Arabidopsis thaliana: one gene and its partners. The protein of the gene in region 1 interacts with the protein of each later gene in a pairwise test. Each region holds a gene or a part of one and is shown in the gene's direction. Other genes may lie near its edges. The genes, in order: WAVE2, BRK1, DIS1 and SPK1.

What was found.
Region 2: the proteins of WAVE2 (region 1) and BRK1 interact in binary tests that used the Arabidopsis thaliana proteins (3 or more experiments, as listed by UniProt).
Region 3: the proteins of WAVE2 (region 1) and DIS1 interact in a two-hybrid assay, tested with the Arabidopsis thaliana proteins (one study listed by BioGRID).
Region 4: the proteins of WAVE2 (region 1) and SPK1 interact in a two-hybrid assay, tested with the Arabidopsis thaliana proteins (one study listed by BioGRID).

What each region holds. Positions count from the first base shown.
Region 1 is NC_003070.9:10,189,623-10,196,836, reverse strand, and holds WAVE2 (SCAR family protein), read left to right. Parts: upstream 1-1,623; 5' UTR 1,624-1,936; coding exon 1,937-2,073; intron 2,074-2,547; coding exon 2,548-2,711; intron 2,712-3,113; coding exon 3,114-3,237; intron 3,238-3,330; coding exon 3,331-3,460; intron 3,461-3,548; coding exon 3,549-3,616; intron 3,617-3,694; coding exon 3,695-5,873; intron 5,874-5,997; coding exon 5,998-6,090; coding exon of another isoform or gene 6,091-6,117; exon of another isoform or gene 6,118-6,190; coding exon 6,191-6,307; intron 6,308-6,434; coding exon 6,435-6,485; 3' UTR 6,486-6,700; downstream 6,701-7,214. UniProt on the Arabidopsis thaliana protein: Involved in regulation of actin and microtubule organization. Part of a WAVE complex that activates the Arp2/3 complex. Regulates trichome branch positioning and expansion.
Region 2 is NC_003071.7:9,621,369-9,624,859, forward strand, and holds BRK1 (BRICK1), read left to right. Parts: upstream 1-1,628; 5' UTR 1,629-1,914; coding exon 1,915-2,047; intron 2,048-2,445; coding exon 2,446-2,570; 3' UTR 2,571-2,967; downstream 2,968-3,491. Other genes in the region: AGL17 (AGAMOUS-like 17), read left to right, coding at 139-273; AT2G22650 (FAD-dependent oxidoreductase family protein), read right to left, coding at 3,335-3,491. UniProt on the Arabidopsis thaliana protein: Involved in regulation of actin and microtubule organization. Part of a WAVE complex that activates the Arp2/3 complex.
Region 3 is NC_003070.9:4,493,398-4,499,019, forward strand, and holds DIS1 (Actin-like ATPase superfamily protein), read left to right. Parts: upstream 1-1,526; 5' UTR 1,527-1,996; coding exon 1,997-2,043; intron 2,044-2,137; coding exon 2,138-2,597; intron 2,598-2,969; coding exon 2,970-3,116; intron 3,117-3,367; coding exon 3,368-3,460; intron 3,461-3,595; coding exon 3,596-3,715; intron 3,716-4,136; coding exon 4,137-4,247; intron 4,248-4,327; coding exon 4,328-4,453; intron 4,454-4,536; coding exon 4,537-4,635; intron 4,636-4,726; coding exon 4,727-4,807; 3' UTR 4,808-5,072; downstream 5,073-5,622.
Region 4 is NC_003075.7:9,238,626-9,243,180, reverse strand, and holds the start of SPK1 (guanyl-nucleotide exchange factors;GTPase binding;GTP binding protein), read left to right. Parts: upstream 1-1,551; 5' UTR 1,552-1,584; intron 1,585-1,781; 5' UTR 1,782-2,120; coding exon 2,121-2,198; intron 2,199-2,274; coding exon 2,275-2,437; intron 2,438-2,517; coding exon 2,518-2,609; intron 2,610-2,701; coding exon 2,702-2,814; intron 2,815-2,904; coding exon 2,905-2,960; intron 2,961-3,053; coding exon 3,054-3,151; intron 3,152-3,280; coding exon 3,281-3,418; intron 3,419-3,660; coding exon 3,661-3,972; intron 3,973-4,555. Other genes in the region: CBL6 (calcineurin B-like protein 6), read left to right, coding at 1-103, 185-318, 410-522, 601-676. UniProt on the Arabidopsis thaliana protein: Guanine nucleotide exchange factor (GEF) for Rho and Rac. GEF proteins activate small GTPases by exchanging bound GDP for free GTP. Controls actin polymerization via the two heteromeric complexes WAVE and actin-related protein (ARP) 2/3.

The sequences.
Region 1 (7,214 bases):
AAAATGTCTCTCTTCTCTTGTCAACTTGAACAAAACCACTTGGAAGATGATTTTCCGTGTTCTATATGCTTAATGACATTACTGCTTCTTGATTTCCTCTTGTTTTTAACCCAAATTGGTCTCTCCCCAAAGTATAATCTTCTGGGTCTTTTTCTTGTAAAATTTGGCATGCTCCAAGATCTATATTAGTAGCTATCTCTTTTTTTTTTGGTTTTTGGTGGTTGTTTGCCTTGTTCACTCCTCCATATATAGTAACTCTTAAACTGTCGAAACATTACCGTATAACATGTTTGTTTGTAGTGATTATTTTAATCGATGTTAATATGCATCAGTTGCAAAAAAATGATATTAATTTTGCATCATTGAATATAAGTGATTTATTATTTGTATCAATTTATCAAAATAACGTTAATATTTGCAACATTTATAATAAATAATTTTAAGTGTTTATATTAATTATAATAACTTATAAAATAATACTAAATTAGTTTTTATGAAACAAATATCTTTATTAATTAATATTAAGCGAACACTTAAATTTAGTTGGGATAGTAACTTTACACTTTTTGGACACCATCTAAAACCAGAATTATGTAACTTTACATATATAAAAAAATTATGGAGGTTTTTTTTTCCTTCTGTGGGAGATATGTGGTATGTAAACAAATTGAATAAACAATTATATCAGTTAGTGCAACTGATGCTAAATCTGTAATTAGCATCGGTTATTATTGATTTAAATTTTGTATCACTTTCTAAATGATTAAAATTCACATATTTGTATTAATATTGTGAAAGTGAGGCAAATAGACCTAGATTTGCATTAATTTTAATGAACTGATGTCACACAAACTAATACGACATCAGTTATTGCAATTGATGTTAAATTATAATTTTTGTATCGATTGTAAATAAGTAATTCAAATTAGTATTTTTTAAATTTTTGTTGCAAGTTAATTGATACAACTAACCTTTTTTGTAGTGAGATTCTTGAGACATAATATCCCTGCCTCTTCTTCTTCTTCAATTGTTGGGGTTGTTCTCCCAATCATAAACATTCTGGTGGATGTAAACATAAAGAGCAAGTGATTTTAACTCTTGTATAGAAAACTAGGAGTCTTGAATGCATTGGAGAAACCACTTTGCATCGGATATGCTTAACTAATTTACCTAGTTCCAAGAATTATAAATGTGGAATTCCACGATTACAATTAAAAATTGTCTACATTTATTGTATCATACTAGAACGTACTATTTGTAATATGTCCATCTCACTCGTTGGACTTTGTTTCAACATGTAACCAACCCAACAATTTTATTTATTGACAAACAAACAAATCCTTACTCAAATAACTACAAAACTTGACGAAACATTTATTTGACATTGACATTCTCTCACTTTTTTTCCGAAAACCACTTCATTTTTAAATTACAAAATCGAACATTTATTCTGTAATCAAAATTAGAATTTAATGTTCATATCGTGCGAACCAATAACCTTTCTTTGAACCAAAAATAAAAATAAAATCCTTCTTTTCTCAAAACCCCATCACGTAATAACACACAAAATACAAGGGTAATTTGGTCTTTCTACTTTTCTGTAAACCCCCCACTGGTAAATGAAATTGGAAAGGAATGGCTTGCGATATTGGCAATGTCAATGTCTCTCTCTCTCACAGTCTCTTTCCCTCTCTGCCTCCAAAATTTCCCTCTCTGTTTTTGAGCAGTTAAGCTGCCTCATCAATCTCACTCACCAGAAACCCATCAACAATCATTAACCTTTTTCTCGTTTTCATCAAAACCCATTTTCTCAATTTCTTCAAAAAAAAACCTTTTGATTCTTTCTCCTAATCCTTTTCCCAGCTCTCTTAATGCTTTAGCCACAAAACTTTTTGTATCTCAATGTGTGACAGTTTTGTACCTTTTAAGAGAAAAAATGCCACGGAATGTATACGGTATGAACCAAAGCGAGGTGTATAGAAATGTCGATCGTGAAGACCCTAAAGCAATTCTCAATGGTGTTGCAGTTACTGGACTTGTTGGGGTCTTGCGTCAGCTTGGTGATCTCGCTGAGTAAGTATTCAATTCGAGCTAATGTTGCGTCTCTTTTGGGTATCTCTACTGTTGAATGATTCTTTGAGCTAGTGGTGAAGTTAAAGATGAGAATCATTACTTTGTGTGAAAGTAATTGCCTTTACTTGTTTAAGGTAATCTAATTGGTGTTTGTAGCTACAAATTTGGGAACCCATTTTGATTGCATGATCCTTTGAAGTTTTTGAGTTAAGCTTTAGCAAAAAGGAAGAAGCTTTATTCATTTATGATTCTATGATTGTTGTGATGTTTCTATCAATCATTCTCCATTTTTGCTGTGTTTAGTTTTGTTTCATGAGCTTAGTTTATGTTTCTTAGCAACTCCTTATGTGGTGACTCTTTATGTCGGCTCTGATATCAAGCTTAGTTTGGGTTTGGAGTGATCTCTGGTTGATAAGGGTCATTTTAGCACAAAGGAAGAAACTTTCTTATCGATTGCTTTTTCTCTTGATTAAGGTTTGCAGCAGAGATATTTCATGGGATACAGGAGGAAGTTATGGCTACAGCTTCAAGAAGCAATCAGTTAAAGATTAGATTGCAGCATATAGAAGCTACAGTGCCTCCACTAGAAAAGGCGATGCTTGCACAAACAACTCATATACATTTTGCATACACAGGAGGTTTGTTTTGTCTTCTTCCCTCTTGTCAATCTTCTTATTGTCTTGACCCAAGGTGTCTGATTCTTGTTAGGTTTCACATTAATTCTTTTAATAAATTATGTCACATCCTTAGTTCATTGTAGGCCTTCACATGCTTTTTCACTTACCCTAAAACTAAAACTTTCTCTGACGAGGCTAGTTTAGAATCTGGAATGATTGAGAAACTAAATCATTGTATCTTCTGCAAAACCTTAAAATAGATTAACTTAAAATTGAATTGATAGTATTAGTTGTTTGGTTCCCCTTGGCAAACTTTTATTTATTGTATTGAAACCGTGGAAGTAATGGGTGGTGAGAAAGTGGTCATGCTTGTATTTTTCTTACTTTATATCTTGTGAACTGAAGGAGTTTAATGGGGTTCAGGTCTGGAGTGGCATCCTCGTATCCCAATTACGCAAAATCACTTAATTTATGACGACTTGCCTCACATTATTATGGATCCCTATGAAGAATGCAGGGGTCCTCCACGGTTACACTTGCTTGATAAGTATGCCTCAAGCTAAAATATTTATATCTGATATGTATGTACTATGTACTATAATCCATCATGTTATACTGATTCTTTGCTTTATTTTCTCAGATTTGATATAAATGGTCCTGGATCTTGCTTGAAGCGATACTCAGATCCTACTTATTTCAGAAGAGCATCAAGCAACCTGAGTCAAGGAAACAAGAAGTTCCAAAAAGATAAAAAGCATTGTAAAATGAAGGTGTGGTTCTCAGATTAAATTGGTAAACCATTTTCTGTAGAATTCTCTTTTACTTGACACATATATATCTGTTTTCTGGCATGGACAGAAGAAAAAAACTTCGTCAAGGAGTCGAGATATGTCACGTTTGGCCTCCTTGGCTAACCAGAATGCCAGGTAAATTATAGATATTGTTGGCATATTTAAGTTTCCGTGCACCTAAAGAATAATTAACTCAGACATAGTTCACTCCAGGAAGACATTTGCTTCATTTAGCTTCAGTGGACAAACCTCTTCTACCAAAACCACCTCAACCAGTGACATGGAAAAAAGATATGATTTTCAAGATCATCATTCTCGCTCTTTTGAGTCCAGAAGTGGTTCAGGCTACAATGAATGCCTTTCAACTGCAACTTCTTCACTGAAGACTGGAGAAAGACCGAAAGGGGTGTTCGTTTCATCCAGCTTGACACCAGGCTCTTGCACTATTGCTTCAGTCCTTTCTGAATGTGAAACCGAAGATGCTCATGATAATTTCCAGTTTAGTCCTTCTCAAGGGCAAGCTGCTCGTGGCTCTTCTTGCGTTAGTTGGGATGAGAAAGCAGAGATAGTGGAATCTCTTGGTCTGCAGACAGATGAAGCTTCTGAAATGGTGGAGGCGAACTCTGTTGTAGATACTCTAGATGAGAAACCAAGCTATGGGGAAGGGATAGGTGGAGTTGATTTCCATTCTAAGGACAATGAAAATGATAAATCAGAATCAGGACTACGAAAACGTGCTGGGATTGATGAGGTAAGAGAGATAAAAAATGGTCGGGAGATTGTGGGAGAACCGAGGGATAGTGAACAAGAGACTGAAAGCGAAGGGGAGTGTTTTGTTGATGCGCTTAATACTATCGAATCAGAATCTGAAAACAATCAAGGGCTTCAAACTAGTCAAGTGAGCAGTTCCTGTGGTGTTGCAGATGAGAGGTTGGAAAAGTCAGTGTGTGAGCAAGAAACAGAGCAGAATTCCTACAGTGTCGAAGATTCTTGCAGATCAATGGATGGGCTTATGGCCAACAGTTTTAAAAATGAAGAGAATGCATCGTCAGAAAATGTATCTGTTGAAATGCATCAACAAAATCTACAGGCGGGTTCAGATATCAACCGCTTACAAAAAAATGATCTTTGTGCAAACAAGGATATGCGTAATGATTCTGGTGGAAAAGATACCATCACATTTACATTTGTGCCAGGTCTCGAGAACAGCTTAGTTGATTCATCAAACCCCTTGATTCATCATGGCCTACAGGAAAATCAAGAAACAGAAGCTGAATCTTCTGGGGATCTCGAAGCCTTTAAAATATGGACTAATGGTGGTCTATTGGGACTGAAACCATCGAAACCTCCAGTCTTGGCAATGCCAAGTTCTTTAAGTCCAGATTGCAAGACCGAGGAAAGGACAGTTGGTTTTGCAGAAGCTGAAAAAGATAAAGCAGATGATCTAGTTGAAAATGCTTCACATAGACATGTTCTGAATAATTCAAGCTTAGCAACGCCAGGAACCCAAAATCCAGGTAGTTCAAATGGCATAGTCATGGGTATTGTAGACCAAAGAGAGTCCCATGAGACTTCTTCTGGAGTTTTTGGACTCAGCCACAAGTTTCTTACTAGTGGTTTCCGCAGAAAGGATTCATTTGCACATGATAGAAAGACTGTACCAGCAACGATTCCAGAGAACGATGAAGTGACTACAGAGAGGAGGAGGTTTTGTGACCAAGATATTAATGAGAAAACCTTTATGGACCCCTTCAGAGACGAAGCTCCTATTGATTGGATCACTTCGTCTCCGCCTCTTCAACACATGAAAATATCTCTCAATCCCGCTGACACTCTTCAGGCTTCGAGACTGAAGCTTAAATTTTCAGATGGAGACAACACTTACAATACCTTTTCCTCCTTCCAGTTGCTTCCAGAGACTGGAACTTCCCTTCCTGATTCTTATTCTGACGACGACACTTTTTGTAGATCATCTCCTTACATGTCAGATACCGATTATCTTAGCGATAATCACTCCTTGTCAAATTCTGAGCCGTGGGAAGAATCCAGTGACAGCCATGGAAGAAAAGAGCAAGAACTATATGATTCTTTCCACGAAAGTAGGCATGTTGATAACAATGCTGAAGCTTCCCCTCTAGGGATCAAATCAGAAAGTTCTTGCGTCGCCGTAAACCTCTCATATCTCCAAAATCCTGCTGAGCCCTTACCACCGCCATTTCCACCCATGCAATGGATGGTTTCAAAGACACCTTCAGAGAAAATGGAAGACAAAACACAGTCCCTACAACTACAAGAAGCTCTCAGGTTTGCGTTTGAGAAGCATATTTCATTGCCTACAGCTAAGAACGAACTGCCTAGCATGGTGACTTCTGCTCCTAAACCAGAAATTAAGGTATGGAGAAGATTTTGACTCTTTCTTCCTACTTTTCTACAGTGTGGGTCAGTTCCATATATTCCAGATGATCGTTTTCAATATAGTTCAAATTACGAATCTTAACAAGCATATGTTCTCATAGGCCCATCTGAAGAATAATGTCAGGGAGGAGAAACAAAGTGCCAACGCAAAGGAGACTGAAACTGGAGACTTCTTGCAACAAATCCGAACACAAGTGAGTGCAAATAGTTCCTTTTTGTGAAAGAAAGTTATATTCTGATGCTTGATTTGTTATATCATCTTTTGCTACATTCTTGGTTTCTTTCAAATCAAAGCAATTCAACCTTAGGCCTGTGGTCATGACAACGACATCATCGGCTACTGCAACAACTGACCCTATCATAAACACTAAGATCAGCGCGATTTTGGAGAAAGCAAACTCAATACGCCAGGTTCATCCTCTAACTTCTGCATCTATATATATCCAAAGCAAATCTAATCTTTATTTCAGAATCTAAGTACTTTTTGTCTTAAATCCAACACAACATTATCTATCACTCACTCTTTTCTTCTTTTCAGGCTGTAGCTAGCAAAGATGGAGATGAAAGCGATACATGGAGTGATACGTAAAAGCCCTTTATCAGATTCCATTTCATCTTTGTAATCTACTCTCTGAACGACATAAATGGAGAAAAGGGGTTCAAGCTAGTCCTGCAAGAATTTTTTGTATTTTGTATCATATCTAATGTGTGGATTTGTGTAGGTGATAGTAAATTTTGTCGAGTGTGATCTGTATCTTCAAGAAAATAAAGTAGTGCAAGAAATAAAAATGAAAGTAAAATCTATAATGCCCATTCATCTTAAGGAAAACTTTCTAGAACTTGGGATTTTAGCCACGAGCTTGCTACAAAAAAAATTCATGACCATAAAGAGCTAAACTTAAATTAGTCATGGACTTTTATCCTAGAGCAACTAAGAAGAATCCATGGTCATAGTTTTTTTTTTTTGTAGTACCACTAAATTTTATAAACAAGATCAACATTTGACTTGATATTACCATCAAAGCAAGTCGGCAATAGCAACATTGAACGACAAAACAAAGTAATGATTCACGTTTACGGTTATTCGATATATTTCAAGTTACGAATGAGAAGCATATGTTCTCATAGACCCATCTTAAGAATATTGTCAGGGAGGATAAACAAAATGCCAATGAAAAGGAGACCAAAACTGGAGACTTGTTGCATCAAATCCAAACACAAGTCAGTGTAATCGATTCTTCTCATGAAAAAAAAAAGTATTTGGATTCTTGATGTTATATCATCTTTAATTGCATTCTTGATTTCTTCCATAGCATAA
Region 2 (3,491 bases), on another chromosome or scaffold:
TTCATTACTTCAAGTTGCAGCTAACAAATCCTTTAAATCAAATTAATCTCCTAGTTGAAACTAGACAAATCTCAATAATTAATTATTGAGATCGTACGTAGTTACAAAAGTGTGTTGTGGTAATGGTCTTGCATACAGGCTTATGGAACGTCGAACACAAATGGATTGGGACATCATGAGCTAGTAGATGCAGTTTATGAATCCCATGCACAGGTTAGGCTGCAGCTAAGCCAGCCTGAGCAGTCCCATTATAAGACATCTTCAAACAGCTAAGATCATATAAGAGATATATAACAAATTGTTCGTTCTTGATTATCTCAAAACCCTTTCAAATATATATACGTGCATATTATATATGAAGACTCGTTTGACTATGTCAATATATATGTTTTCATGCAGGAGTAAGTGTGAGTGTAATCATGTCGGAGAGCAAACCAAAGGTTTGATTTGTACGATATATACTTATATATGGTCTCAAGTGAAAGCAATGGAACAGCTTCTCGATTATATTCTTTTTAGCTTTCACATTTGGTTTTAAGTACATAATTAAGACATACATGAACTACATATATAATATATATTTTAACTAAAAAAATTGAGTGTGATATAGGTTGGTTTAGTATATAAGCTATACTTTACCTAAAGTAAAATCAGAGCTCACTTTTGTGTGTGTGTGTTTGTTTTTGTTAGTCATTGAGATTTTTAATAAAGGGAGATTCATTTGAGATGATTGCTTCTATAGTTTAGAGAAAATTTGCAAAACAAAAAGAGTATACTATATATTGTCGTTTCAGGTAAAACGATGCAAAAAGTCAGCCTAGAAATTAACGAAGTTACATGACCATGACCAACATATGAAAACTGCATTGTTTAACATATCTCTGAAAAGATTATGTTTTTGGTCGTATTAAAATAACAAAAACGAAGTAAAAAAAATCTCAGATGTGAAATCAAACTAAGAGGAGCTAGGAGAAGAAAAATAAACCCTAATTTCCTTGGGATGTAAATTTTCACCGGTCGTACAATATAGGATTTTATGTGATTCAAAATTTTAGTCCAAAAGTAGAGGGTTATAAGTTTCTCGGTTTGAATAAATTAATTTAGTGATTTTGATTTAGCGCTTAAATTTGATTGTAAACACAGTTCACTCTATTATATACTATTGTCCAATATTTTGCATACTGTAATCCACTTTTAACCTACAAAAATATTGATATAATTAGTCCGGTTTACTGCTAATTGAACAACCATTCAAAATTTGATTTGTTGTATAGACAATGAGTTATGCCTCATCAGAAATAATCACAACTTAAAATTATTCTAGTATGATGAAATATGTGTTCTGTTTTGTAAATATTATAGATACAACCTATAAATAGTTATACAAGTTACAACCAATGAGCATACCGAATAATTCACTTGACTTTAAAACAAACGTATCTTGAATTCAAAGATTAAAGATTGGTTGTAATAGTATATATGCACGAAGAACCAAGAATTGCTCAATTTTTAATTGATAGTGACATTTGAATAGAACGAAAAAGATTGAACACTAACTAAGCAATCTACCAAAATATTAAACCAAACCACATAATATCAAATATCTTAAATTATAAAATAGCCCCTATATTTCCTCTTTATCTCATAAAACACCCGTTTCTTCTTCTAATCTTAACTTCTTCTTCATCAATCACACATCATCTAAAAGAAAAACAACCTACGATAAAATTCAGAAACTTTTTCTCTGAGACACCAAAAAAGGAAGGTGACCCTCCTTCTCTAATCGATTGCTTAATCATTTCTGCCGTTGGATTGAATCGAAAAAGGGCGAATTATTTAAAAAGCTTCAGAATTTGAAATCGAAATCTGTGAGTACTGTTGTGTTTGTGGAAGAGAGAGTTTTGGGGTTTAATAATGGCGAAAGCTGGAGGGATCACGAACGCAGTAAACGTAGGAATCGCTGTTCAAGCAGATTGGGAGAATCGAGAATTTATCTCACATATCTCTCTTAATGTTCGTCGTCTCTTCGAATTCCTTGTTCAATTTGGTAAACCTCACTCTCTCACTTATTTCTCTGTGTTGGGTTTTGAATTCAATTGACTAATTTTGGAGTTTTCTCGATTTCGTATTTGCTAAATTTAGAAACTTTGTTTTAGAGTTTTTGTCAAAGTAAGGTTTTTGATGATTGGGAGATTTGATTTTGGTGGTTGGTTAGTGAAAAATTTCACCTTTTTAATTGTTGAGATGATCAGATTTCATTTGCATTTGTATGGTCTTAGATCCATGTGCTAAGAGAGATCTTTGTAATGATCTCTTTGATCTTCTCAGCTTCAATTCTAGCTGGTTTTAGACAATGTTGTGTGTGATGAAACTTTCTTTTATGAGCTAATTTGATTATCGAAGTCATTGATGTCTGTGAGTTTGTAATTTCTCTGTGTGTTTCAGAATCAACCACAAAGAGCAAGTTGGCTTCTTTGAATGAGAAGTTGGATCTGTTGGAACGTCGCTTGGAAATGCTGGAGGTGCAAGTAAGTACCGCGACAGCAAATCCTTCTCTGTTTGCGACGTGAAACACCGTAGACGATATCGAAATCGAAACCGAGCCTGATCCTTTGGCTTTAACAGAAGAAGTCTGTTGTTGAATGTGTACCATTGAATGATTCTTTCTTTCTTCACATAGCTGTGGTAGTAAGTAAACTAGTAGCTTAAAATATGAATCTATTCATAAATATGTGTATCTTTTTTCTGTCCATTAAGATCTCTTTTGAATGACAAGTCATTTCGTTGAACTCTTGAAGTTTTTGCTTTCTTCTGCTGTTGATTTATAAACTTTGCAGAGGTACCCTTTTCATCTTCTATGCATCGGATTTGTATATTCGTCTTTTCTCTTAAAGTGGAACACATGTAAAACGCTCTTGTTGCCCATTTTTTCTTTTTCATCAATGGAGGAAGAAAAAACCGAAAAAGCTCACATCTCTTTTCCTCCATTAGATTCTGTCTGCATTTGTGACTCACATTGTTTTTTTGAGTTCCACTCGGATTCATCGAGACCGACCTAATCGTCTCCACCCGTACGTACTATGAGATCACCCCACGGATGCCTACGATATCCAGGGGTCGCGGACCAACCATAGAACCAAGCCATTGTTGAAAATATTCTGTTTTACGTACCTAAACCACAAAGTTCTGTAGACTATGGATGATTGACCATTTTTAAAAAAATATTCTGAACTCAGTTTTTGTTTTGTCTGAATTGAGATTTGCTGTGTTGACCAAGCTTCCAAGCTTGAAGCTGCAAACAAGAGTGAGAACTGAGAAGTAAACAATGGTACTCTTATTGTCTGTTTTTCTTCCAAGAAGTTAGTTCAGAAGGAAGTAATTCTTCATTGCAACTTAAAACAGCTTTAGACATGAGTTTCCCAAGCCAAGCATGATAGAGTAGTCCCCTTGATCCGAGCCCTGAAAATACCCAGAAGTTGCAAAACTGACCA
Region 3 (5,622 bases), 5.7 Mb from region 1:
TTGATTTTGCTTCGAATATGGTTGTTTTGTCAACGGTTTTTTATATCAAATATAGTTTTTTTTCTCTTTTCAATGCAATCGGTTAGGTGGTATTTGATTTTTCCTTCAAATTGAATTTTAAAAAATTCATTTTGTTCTTGATGATACAGTTCAATTTATCTGAATTAAACAATCTTAACCATATTGAATATTAAAACATGAGTATTGTATATTTCATTATGATTACACCTCATTTACCCCCAAATCTCTTTAATCAATAAACTTGACATGATCATGAAAAAAAATCATTGTTTAAAAAAAAAAACTAAAACAATAAACAAATATTTGTTTTGATAGTTCGAATATAATACTGCTAATACATTGATGAGTATTTATAAGTAAAAAAACTTGTAGAATCTTAAAAATATATTTAGATCGTCCTTTATCAATAAAATTTGTACAAAATGCGCTTTGTAATATTTTTTCTTTACGGTTACATCTTTATATTTTATTTTTATTTTTTGCTAAAGTGAAAAAAATAGTGCATTCTTTAGAGCTTTGAAGAACGTTGGTAGATCAACAATGAGTCGTCTGGAAAACATGTCGGCAAGAGATGCTTACAGCAATGTGACTGATCTAAAAACGATAGCCAACAAATTCGTAAACGGCGAATATTAAATTGAAAAAACTAGTGAATTGAGTATCACATATCTGCGTTAACGAATTTAGTAATTTGTTGGACGAATGTAGTAATTCGTTAGATGAATGAGATCAATCAAGCCATTTAAAAAAATATATATTCATTCGCATTGTAGTTTTACACATACCACCTAACATTGACTATAAAAAATATATATGAAAAAGAAATCTGTTGCAAGGGAGACTAACCTAGCCCAACAATTTTTAAAGCTCTAGGGCAAAATAAAAATTCAGGACCTTATATTCATGTTAAAAAAAAAAATTTATATATTTGGGCATATTTATACTAAAAATTATTTTGTTTGGGTCTTTTGAAATTTTATTACCTTGAAAACAGGTCATACTTTACACTTAAATGCTAAAACATTGGGCTACATTTTCATTTTGTTATTTAAACGGACCGGTATGAGTGAGACATGCATGATGATTTAAGCTTATCTACTCAATAGGATTAGGCTGAGACTGATATGATTCCATTTTTCGAGACCGTGTGAACATAGTTCATGATAACTACTGTGTAGTAAAGTAGTAACAAGACTTCAATCTCAAGTTTTAATGGGTTTTGTTCGGTGGTTCAAGCGTCCTTATCATAAGTTTGTTTTTCTGTCTTCACTACACACATCTTAATATTGAGTTAATCCAATTAACAGTAGGCATATATCATATATCATATATCAGAACATTATTTGTGTTATGATTACCTTTTATATTATCAAAGTCCCTAGTTAATTTGGTTTGTTTACAAAGACGATTACAGTATATTATATATCCAAACAAAATTTGTAATGATGATAATCAGCCCAGTATGGTTCAATTCAATGTTATTGAAATTTGTTTGGTTTTTAAATCAGACTTGGTTATTGAGTCGGGTTGGAAAACCAAATTAACCACAGCGCATAAGGACGAAGCCAAAATTTAAAACAGTAGTTGTACATAACTTCATTTGTTTTTTATCGGAAAAATCTCACACGATAAAGTACCAGTCGACGACGGCGACTTTCTCTATGATCTGACCGTTTCGCTGAATCTCACGTGAATCTCTGATTTTCCGGGAAAATCAATTTTCTCTCATTGTCTCTCTCCCTACATTGTTTCTCATAGCCTACGAGAAATTACGTGGTAGCTTGTCGGAAACTCAACTTCCGTTGACGGAAGGCGCGAGAAAGAAGCAAGCTTAGGTTCGATCGGAAAATTCTAGGGTTCTCTAGTGTTTAAACGGTAGAGATAATCGATCTCTAATCGGATACTGTTTTGGATCTCCATTCACACCCTCTGGTGAGCTGATTTTGCTTTAGAGATCGCCGGCTTAGTTTCTCTAATGGATCCGACTTCTCGACCCGCTATTGTCATCGACAATGGAACTGGGTACGTTCAATGATAGGTTTGATTTGTTTATGCGCTTAACGTGTTCGATGAAATGCTGCAATTAGATTCATTCTTGTGTGTGTGTGTATTGCAGGTATACTAAAATGGGATTTGCGGGTAATGTAGAGCCATGTTTTATCTTACCAACAGTAGTTGCAGTAAACGAGTCGTTTTTGAATCAATCCAAGAGTTCTTCTAAGGCAACTTGGCAAACTCAGCACAACGCTGGAGTTGCTGCGGATCTCGATTTCTATATTGGAGATGAAGCTCTTGCGAAATCGCGGTCTAGTAGTACTCATAATCTTCATTATCCAATTGAGCATGGTCAAGTTGAGGATTGGGATGCTATGGAGAGATATTGGCAGCAGTGTATATTTAACTATTTGAGATGTGATCCTGAGGATCATTATTTTCTTCTTACTGAAAGTCCTCTTACTCCTCCTGAAAGTCGAGAATATACTGGAGAAATTTTGTTTGAGACTTTTAATGTTCCTGGGCTTTACATTGCTGTTAATTCAGTTCTTGCACTTGCTGCTGGCTACACAACATCAAAGGTATGTTACACATTTCTTTTCTCCAAGTATTTACGTTGTTTGCTGTGATGAAATGCTATGTATTAGCCTACTTGCTGTGATGAAATGATATGTATTTAAGTTGTTTGCTGGGATGAAATGATATGTATTTAGGCTATTAGTTGTTTAAGTTTGCTTGTAGACTGTGTGAATCCTTAAATCAAGTCATAATTATACTTTATTCAGTTTTGGTTTTAGGGACTGAGTCTCAAGAATAGGTTAGTGTAACCTCACCAACATTAGACAATTTCCGAGCTTTGTGGGATTTAGCAAATATTAAACATGTTCTCTTGTTTTTTGTTCTGTCTCGTTATGCTCGCCTCGCCTCTTAATTTGACTTACAATTCTTCTTAGTGTGAGATGACAGGGGTTGTAGTAGATGTTGGAGATGGGGCAACTCATGTTGTACCTGTTGCAGAAGGTTATGTCATCGGGAGCTGTATCAAATCGATTCCAATTGCTGGCAAAGATGTCACCCTCTTTATCCAGCAACTCATGCGGGTATGCACTAATTTATTATCTTAATATTAGTCTTGGTCTTCTTTTGTAGTTGGTTTTCATTCTTTCTCTGTGACATTTTAAGATTTTAAAGGCACAGAAGTTAAATGTGTTAAATCCAAGCTTTGAGTATGGTAGCTAGGCTTCCTGTTTATTTGTTTTAGATGTTGTGCTCATATGCTTAGAGAGGGTGTTTACTGGTTTAGATTAATGTATTAACTTCATGTAACTTCTCGTTTCAATGTTTACTGTAGGAAAGAGGTGAGAATATACCACCAGAAGATTCATTCGATGTAGCCCGTAAAGTGAAGGAAATGTACTGCTACACTTGTTCTGACATCGTAAAGGTAATCCTTAGTGGTGAATATTCAAGTCAGATAATATTAATATATACTCTTCTGAAAATTTATTACTGGCCTGTATGCTGAAATCGCTTGAAAAGAATATAGGAATATTGATAAAGAACATTCATATGGTTGCAGGAGTTTAATAAACATGACAAAGAACCAGCAAAGTATATTAAACAATGGAAAGGTGTAAAGCCAAAGACTGGTGCACCATACACTTGCGACGTGGGATATGAACGATTCCTTGGACCCGAGGTTTGTTACCATCTATCTGTTATAAAAAGTTGTAAGTTGATAAGATAACCAGAATCGGAGACTGGATATCTTTACTGGTGCATGAGTTTCTAGTATGTCAGTGAGCTGTTCATGATTTGTTATCGATTATAAGATATTTTCAGCACTCTGTTCTGATTACTGAACGGTACTGATATAAAACTATGCTCTCTCAGAAACTCAAATTAGGTAATTACTTAGTCCATTATGTTAACTGGAAGTCTGGAACTAATTCTTATCTAGTTAGAATTCAGCTGTCACTACTGGACCCATAGGAAGCTAATCTCCTTTGTATCTCTATACCAAGAGAGTAACTGGAAAGTGGAACATAATTTCCTTTATTGTTCTTGCGTTTTTGTTCTGCTATTACCGATGAGTAATGTTGAGATTTTGTGTGTTACAGGTGTTCTTTAATCCAGAGATATACAGCAATGACTTCACAACTACTTTACCAGCTGTGATAGACAAATGTATTCAGTCTGCACCAATTGACACACGAAGAGCTTTATATAAGGTTTGAAACGCCAAAGACTGGTCAGAGTTTTAAGATAATTTCCAATCCGCAATACTGATGAATTTGTGAAATCATTTCAGAATATAGTGTTGTCCGGAGGTTCAACTATGTTCAAAGATTTCGGAAGAAGGTTACAAAGGGACCTCAAGAAGATTGTTGATGCTCGTGTTCTTGCTAATAACGCTCGTACTGGTGGTGAAATTACGGTAAGAAAATTGTATGATATTCTGGAAAATAAAAGTGATAACCAGTTTTCTTAATCTGAGGTGATATTTATTTATAACCACAGTCTCAACCGGTGGAGGTTAATGTCGTGAGCCATCCTGTCCAGAGGTTTGCAGTTTGGTTTGGAGGCTCTGTGCTTTCATCAACTCCTGAGTTTTTCGCGGTATGCAAACTAGTTTAGAGATCCGCTAGTTTGAAGCTAAACCTCATGGCTTGATCGTGTTTTGAAACAAGATGTATTTTTGTTGTTGCAGAGTTGCAGAACGAAAGAGGAGTATGAGGAATATGGAGCAAGCATATGCCGCACGAATCCGGTGTTCAAGGGAATGTATTGAAGCTGCTTCATAAATAATTCACCAGCAGATTCTGTGAATGTTTGTCTGCTTTACTCCATTTCTATTACTGACTTTAGGGTTCTTGAGTACACACAGTGTAAGCTAGGCTTGATGTAGAAGTCATATTATTATTCAGACAAATTAAAGAAAAAAAGTATGTAGAAGTTTGATTTTTTTTTCATATTATTTTCTGTTAACTCAAGCATTAAATTCCACAGAAAAGTTCCGGATTATCAATCGTCTAATTGTCAAGTTATCATTTTTTATAAGCTTTTATTCCACTCAAGAGCTTAAGTTCTAGATGAAACACATGATAATTAAGTTTTGTCTACTTTATGATGTGTTTTATTTTTTATAAATTAGTTAATAATATTTAAAATTAGACATGAATAGATAAACCTTCTTTTGGGTAAAATACACAAAATCATTTTCTTAAATTACTCAAAACAAATATCTTTCATTACTCTTTGGTTTTGGAGTAATGTAAGATATTCTGTTGTTAATAATAAAGGAAAAAACTTTCATGGGAAAAAAAAATATATATATATATCTTTCATATGTTCTACAAAATACATTATTACATTTATAGCTTGTTGTATAAACGCACTAAAAAAACATGTAAAAGAAAAAAGTTTGTTAAGACAAACTGTTGACATCACGGTGAAGCTCTTCTTTCATTTTTTCTTCTTCTATCGGATAAGAAAGAGAACATCCCGAGTCTCGACGAATACGACTCTCTTCCTCCGATCTCATCAAAAACTCTTTCGCTAAAGCTCTGTTTCTGGGCGTTCAAACAATTCCGGAGTTTGTCGGAT
Region 4 (4,555 bases), on another chromosome or scaffold:
GACTTGTTTGATACCAAGAATACTGGGATTCTAGATTTTGAAGCCTTTGCTCGTTCACTTTCGGTCTTTCACCCTAATGCTAAATTTGAGGATAAGATTGAGTGTAAGTGGTCGAGAGAGACTTGACCTTCTTTTTTTTTGTCATATCCAAACCTTGGATCAAGCTCATCTTTTGTCTCTGCAGTCTCTTTCAAGCTGTATGATCTGAATCAGCAAGGTTATATAAAGAGACAGGAGGTGAAGCAAATGGTTGTGCGGACTCTAGCTGAATCTGGCATGAACCTTTCTGATCATGTGATTGAGAGCATCATAGACAAGGTGGGTTTGGTTGATCTCCTCCATTGACACTAACTAGGATTCTCATATTTAATCTTTGACAAGAGATGTAAAAACTGATTGGTGTGTGTAGACATTTGAAGAAGCTGATACTAAACTGGACGGGAAGATTGATAAGGAAGAGTGGAGGAGTCTTGTGTTGCGCCACCCCTCTCTGTTACAGAACATGAGCCTTCAACATCTCAAGTAAGCTAGCCATGTTATTTGCCTTATTATCTTCTTCGTGCGGGACTAACATGTTTTTGTATGTTGTGTTTTGTGTAGAGACGTAACAAAGACGTTTCCAAATTTTGTATTTCACACTATAGTGACAGACACTCCTAGTGAGCTGGATGGATGATCAGGGATGTGAAGAAAGACCAAAACCCTTTACAAGATCATTCATACTTGATTCTTATCTTCTTCTCCATTACTCTATTACAACCCTCCTCTTTATTTTTAATAAATACGTTCTGAAAGCAGCATTACCTCACATGTTTGTGTATCCGCAAACTTGTTCGGTTTATCTTATCTGTTGGAGTGTGCAAATTGATTCTTTTACTCGGCATTAGTTTTATTTTGTTGCTTCTTCTTTCTTTCTATCTAAATTTGTTAGTTGGAGTAAAATCCGGACAACCATATTTTACAGGGAACCCAAATGGCGAGATAGTTTTAACATGAGAAAGGAAAGATTCATGTGAATGAGAAACTGGTTAACTTGAATCTCATAGATCATTGTATACTTGGACATTTTCCCAAGATTAGAACAAACAATACTAGATCTCTCGAAAATATCTTCATCACAGTTGCAAAGAGCCGTGGAGAACCCAACTCTTGAGCTCAAAATTGTATCAGCTAGTGACGTCAACCATATCGAATATGTCACGGACAAAATGGACGTATACGCCGTCGTTTCAATCAAAGACAACACAACTCAACAGCAACAAGCGGCCAAAACTCCCATTGATATATAACGGAGGTTCTAATCCGACTTGGAATCACACACCGTTAAGTTCTCCGTCAACGAGAGAGAAGCCACGAAGCCCAATAATTATGTTAACCAGTGTAACGTTTTTTCACCCACTTAATTTTTTGGCTGGGTCTGCCTAACATTCTAGGCACAAGTTAAAGAGGTGATCAATTTTTAGAAATTATAACCCTAATGCTAACATGAATGATATATAAAAAGGCCGCAATGGTAGACTATAATGGCAACAACTCTGAAACAATGGCTAAAGATTGGGATTCACCGATTCATAGATACCAAAGGTAACTATGAACTCGTTTACGGTTTATCTCAACATGAATCCGTAGAAACAAATCAACAATCCTAATTTCAATAAAGTGTGACAACTAAATTCTTTAGCCGTATACTTTCTAATTCCATTTTGTTTGGTATAATGAGAATTGGAATGACTTTTGGTGAAAATGGTTACTACTTACTCCAATTCTTTAAGTTGGTTCAGGTGAGGTATCATCGTCTTTGGTCGTCCCAATGATTGACTCTTTTGTTATTTAAAAAGAAAAAAGGGACAGTAGAGTTGGACTCTTGTTGGACTTACAGCTCCAGCTCGACTTTTGCTTTCCTCTTGAGTAATCTTCACTTTTTCTCCCAACTGCTTCCTCTCACGGATCTCTTCCTCTCTGCGTAAAGACAAAGATTCATCCTCCTCTCCTCCTTTAGCTCCCCCACTCAGATCTACTTACTACTCCAACAATGTCCTTTTCCCATTTCTAGGTTTTCACAAATCCCCAATTCTCTCTAATGGCGTAGTAGTACCTCACATTGTATTAGATCTATCTCAATGGAGAACAACAATCTTGGTCTTCGATTTCGTAAGCTACCTCGTCAGCCTCTTGCTCTCCCTAAGCTCGATCCTTTGGTAATTAAACTCTCCTCAACCTTTATTCGCGTTTTCTCTCTCTTTTCGTTAATGTGTTTCTTCTCTTTTGTTTCAGCTTGATGAGAATCTGGAACAATGGCCACATTTGAATCAATTGGTTCAATGTTATGGCACTGAATGGGTTAAAGATGTTAACAAATACGGTCACTATGAAAATATTCGACCTGATTCTTTCCAGACTCAGATTTTTGAAGGACCTGATACTGATACTGAGACTGGTAACTATGATGCATTGTTTATTTTTATTTTTTTTGCTTTTGTCAATTATTGTACATCAATTAACTCTCTGCTTCTTCAGAGATTCGTCTTGCTAGTGCCAGGAGTGCAACTATTGAGGAGGATGTTGCCAGTATTTCCGGGAGGCCGTTTTCTGATCCTGGATCCTCTAAGGTGTCTTCTTTTACTCACTTCATTGCTCTGTTATATATTTCTCATCCTTTGGTTCTTACTTTGAAGGTGTTGCTTTTTTTTTTTTTTTTCAGCATTTTGGGCAACCTCCTTTACCTGCTTATGAACCAGCTTTTGACTGGGAAAATGAAAGAGCTATGATTTTTGGTCAGAGAACTCCTGAATCTCCTGCAGCTAGCTATTCCAGGTTTTTTTTTTTTTGCATGTCACTATGCTTTACCTGATCTTATTATCTTTGTCTGATTTGTACTTCTGTTCCTCTTTATTATCTTCACAGTGGATTGAAGATCTCTGTCAGAGTTTTGTCTCTAGCTTTTCAGTCTGGCTTAGTTGGTGAGGATTCTGACTAACTGCTGTCTATTTTCTGTAATTTTAGTTATTTCAACTTCTTTAAGTTCCTTCTTTATTTCTCTTGCATCCCTGCAGAACCATTTTTTGGCTCGATTGCATTGTACAATCAAGAGAGGAAGGAGAAACTCTCTGAGGATTTTTATTTCCAGATTCAGCCGACGGAAATGCAGGATGTAAGTAACTGATTAGAGCCAACTGTCCTCTTTTTGCCTCTTCCCTTCTCATGATTATATAAAAGGTGATTTCAGTTTTTTCTCACGTCATTTTTGCGAAATTGCCGCCCCTTGTACATTTTCTTGCAGGCTAAACTTTCATCTGAAAATCGTGGAGTATTTTATCTAGATGCCCCATCAGCATCAGTTTGCCTGCTTATTCAATTAGAAAAAACAGCAACTGAGGAAGGAGGCGTTACATCATCTGTCTATTCCCGTAAAGAGCCTGTAATTTCCAAAATCCTGAATTTTCCCTTACTGTCTCTAGAGTCTCTTGCTCATGTGAATGCCTTGGTCTTAGAGATTGTGTCTTTCAACATTTATTTGGAGTAACTTGGAGATAGCCTGTGACTTATAATGGCATATATCATCTGTCTTTACTCTTTGTTTTGATATATATTTTAGAGTAGTCATGGTGATAGCTGGATCTTGATATAACAATTAGTAATTACCCTATTTATGTGAATCAGGTGCACTTAACTGAGAGGGAAAAGCAAAAGTTGCAGGTCTGGTCTCGCATTATGCCTTACCGAGAGTCTTTTGCTTGGGCAGTTGTTCCGCTTTTTGATAATAATCTCACCACAAACACTGGTGAATCTGCTTCCCCTAGCAGTCCTCTTGCTCCTAGTATGACTGCGTCAAGTTCCCATGATGGTGTTTATGAACCAATTGCAAAGATCACATCAGATGGAAAGCAAGGTTATTCAGGTGGAAGTTCTGTCGTAGTTGAAATATCTAATTTAAATAAAGTTAAAGAGAGCTACTCTGAAGAGTCCATTCAGGTAGGATGTTTCTTATCAAATCCCACAGTTTTTACCATGTTCTTTATGATTGTATTTACAGTGCTTTGAACTTCACATGGTGTGGAACATTTTTCATAGATTTTGTTCAATTTGAAAATCCTACTTGCTAGGTACACTTTGGTTGGGTTTTCCTGAACTGGATATGTATCTAAGCAAGTAGAGTTGCATGCACAGTCGATTGACAAAATACTTCTGTATTTAATTGATAACAGTTTTTTTTTGTTTTCTATTTGAATGAATCAATTTTGGTAGCATTTGACAATTAGGTCATGGTGTTTAATTCATAAGTTTTGAGGAATAGAAGTTCTTCATTTCTGTTTTCCCTTCTGAAGTGTAGTTAGTTATAAGTATATTACTAAATACATCACAAGAAAACAAGATTTCCGAGCTCTCTCTTCTTTTACTCACACAAAAAAATTCAGATCTGAATCGTGTTTGGTAACGTCATCAGACAAATAACTGGAATGCTTTTTATTGATATAACATCTTACTGTATATTGCTGCTTTTATCTGGAGGAAATACATATCTAAAATCTCTTTAAACTGTCTTGATCAGTTGGAC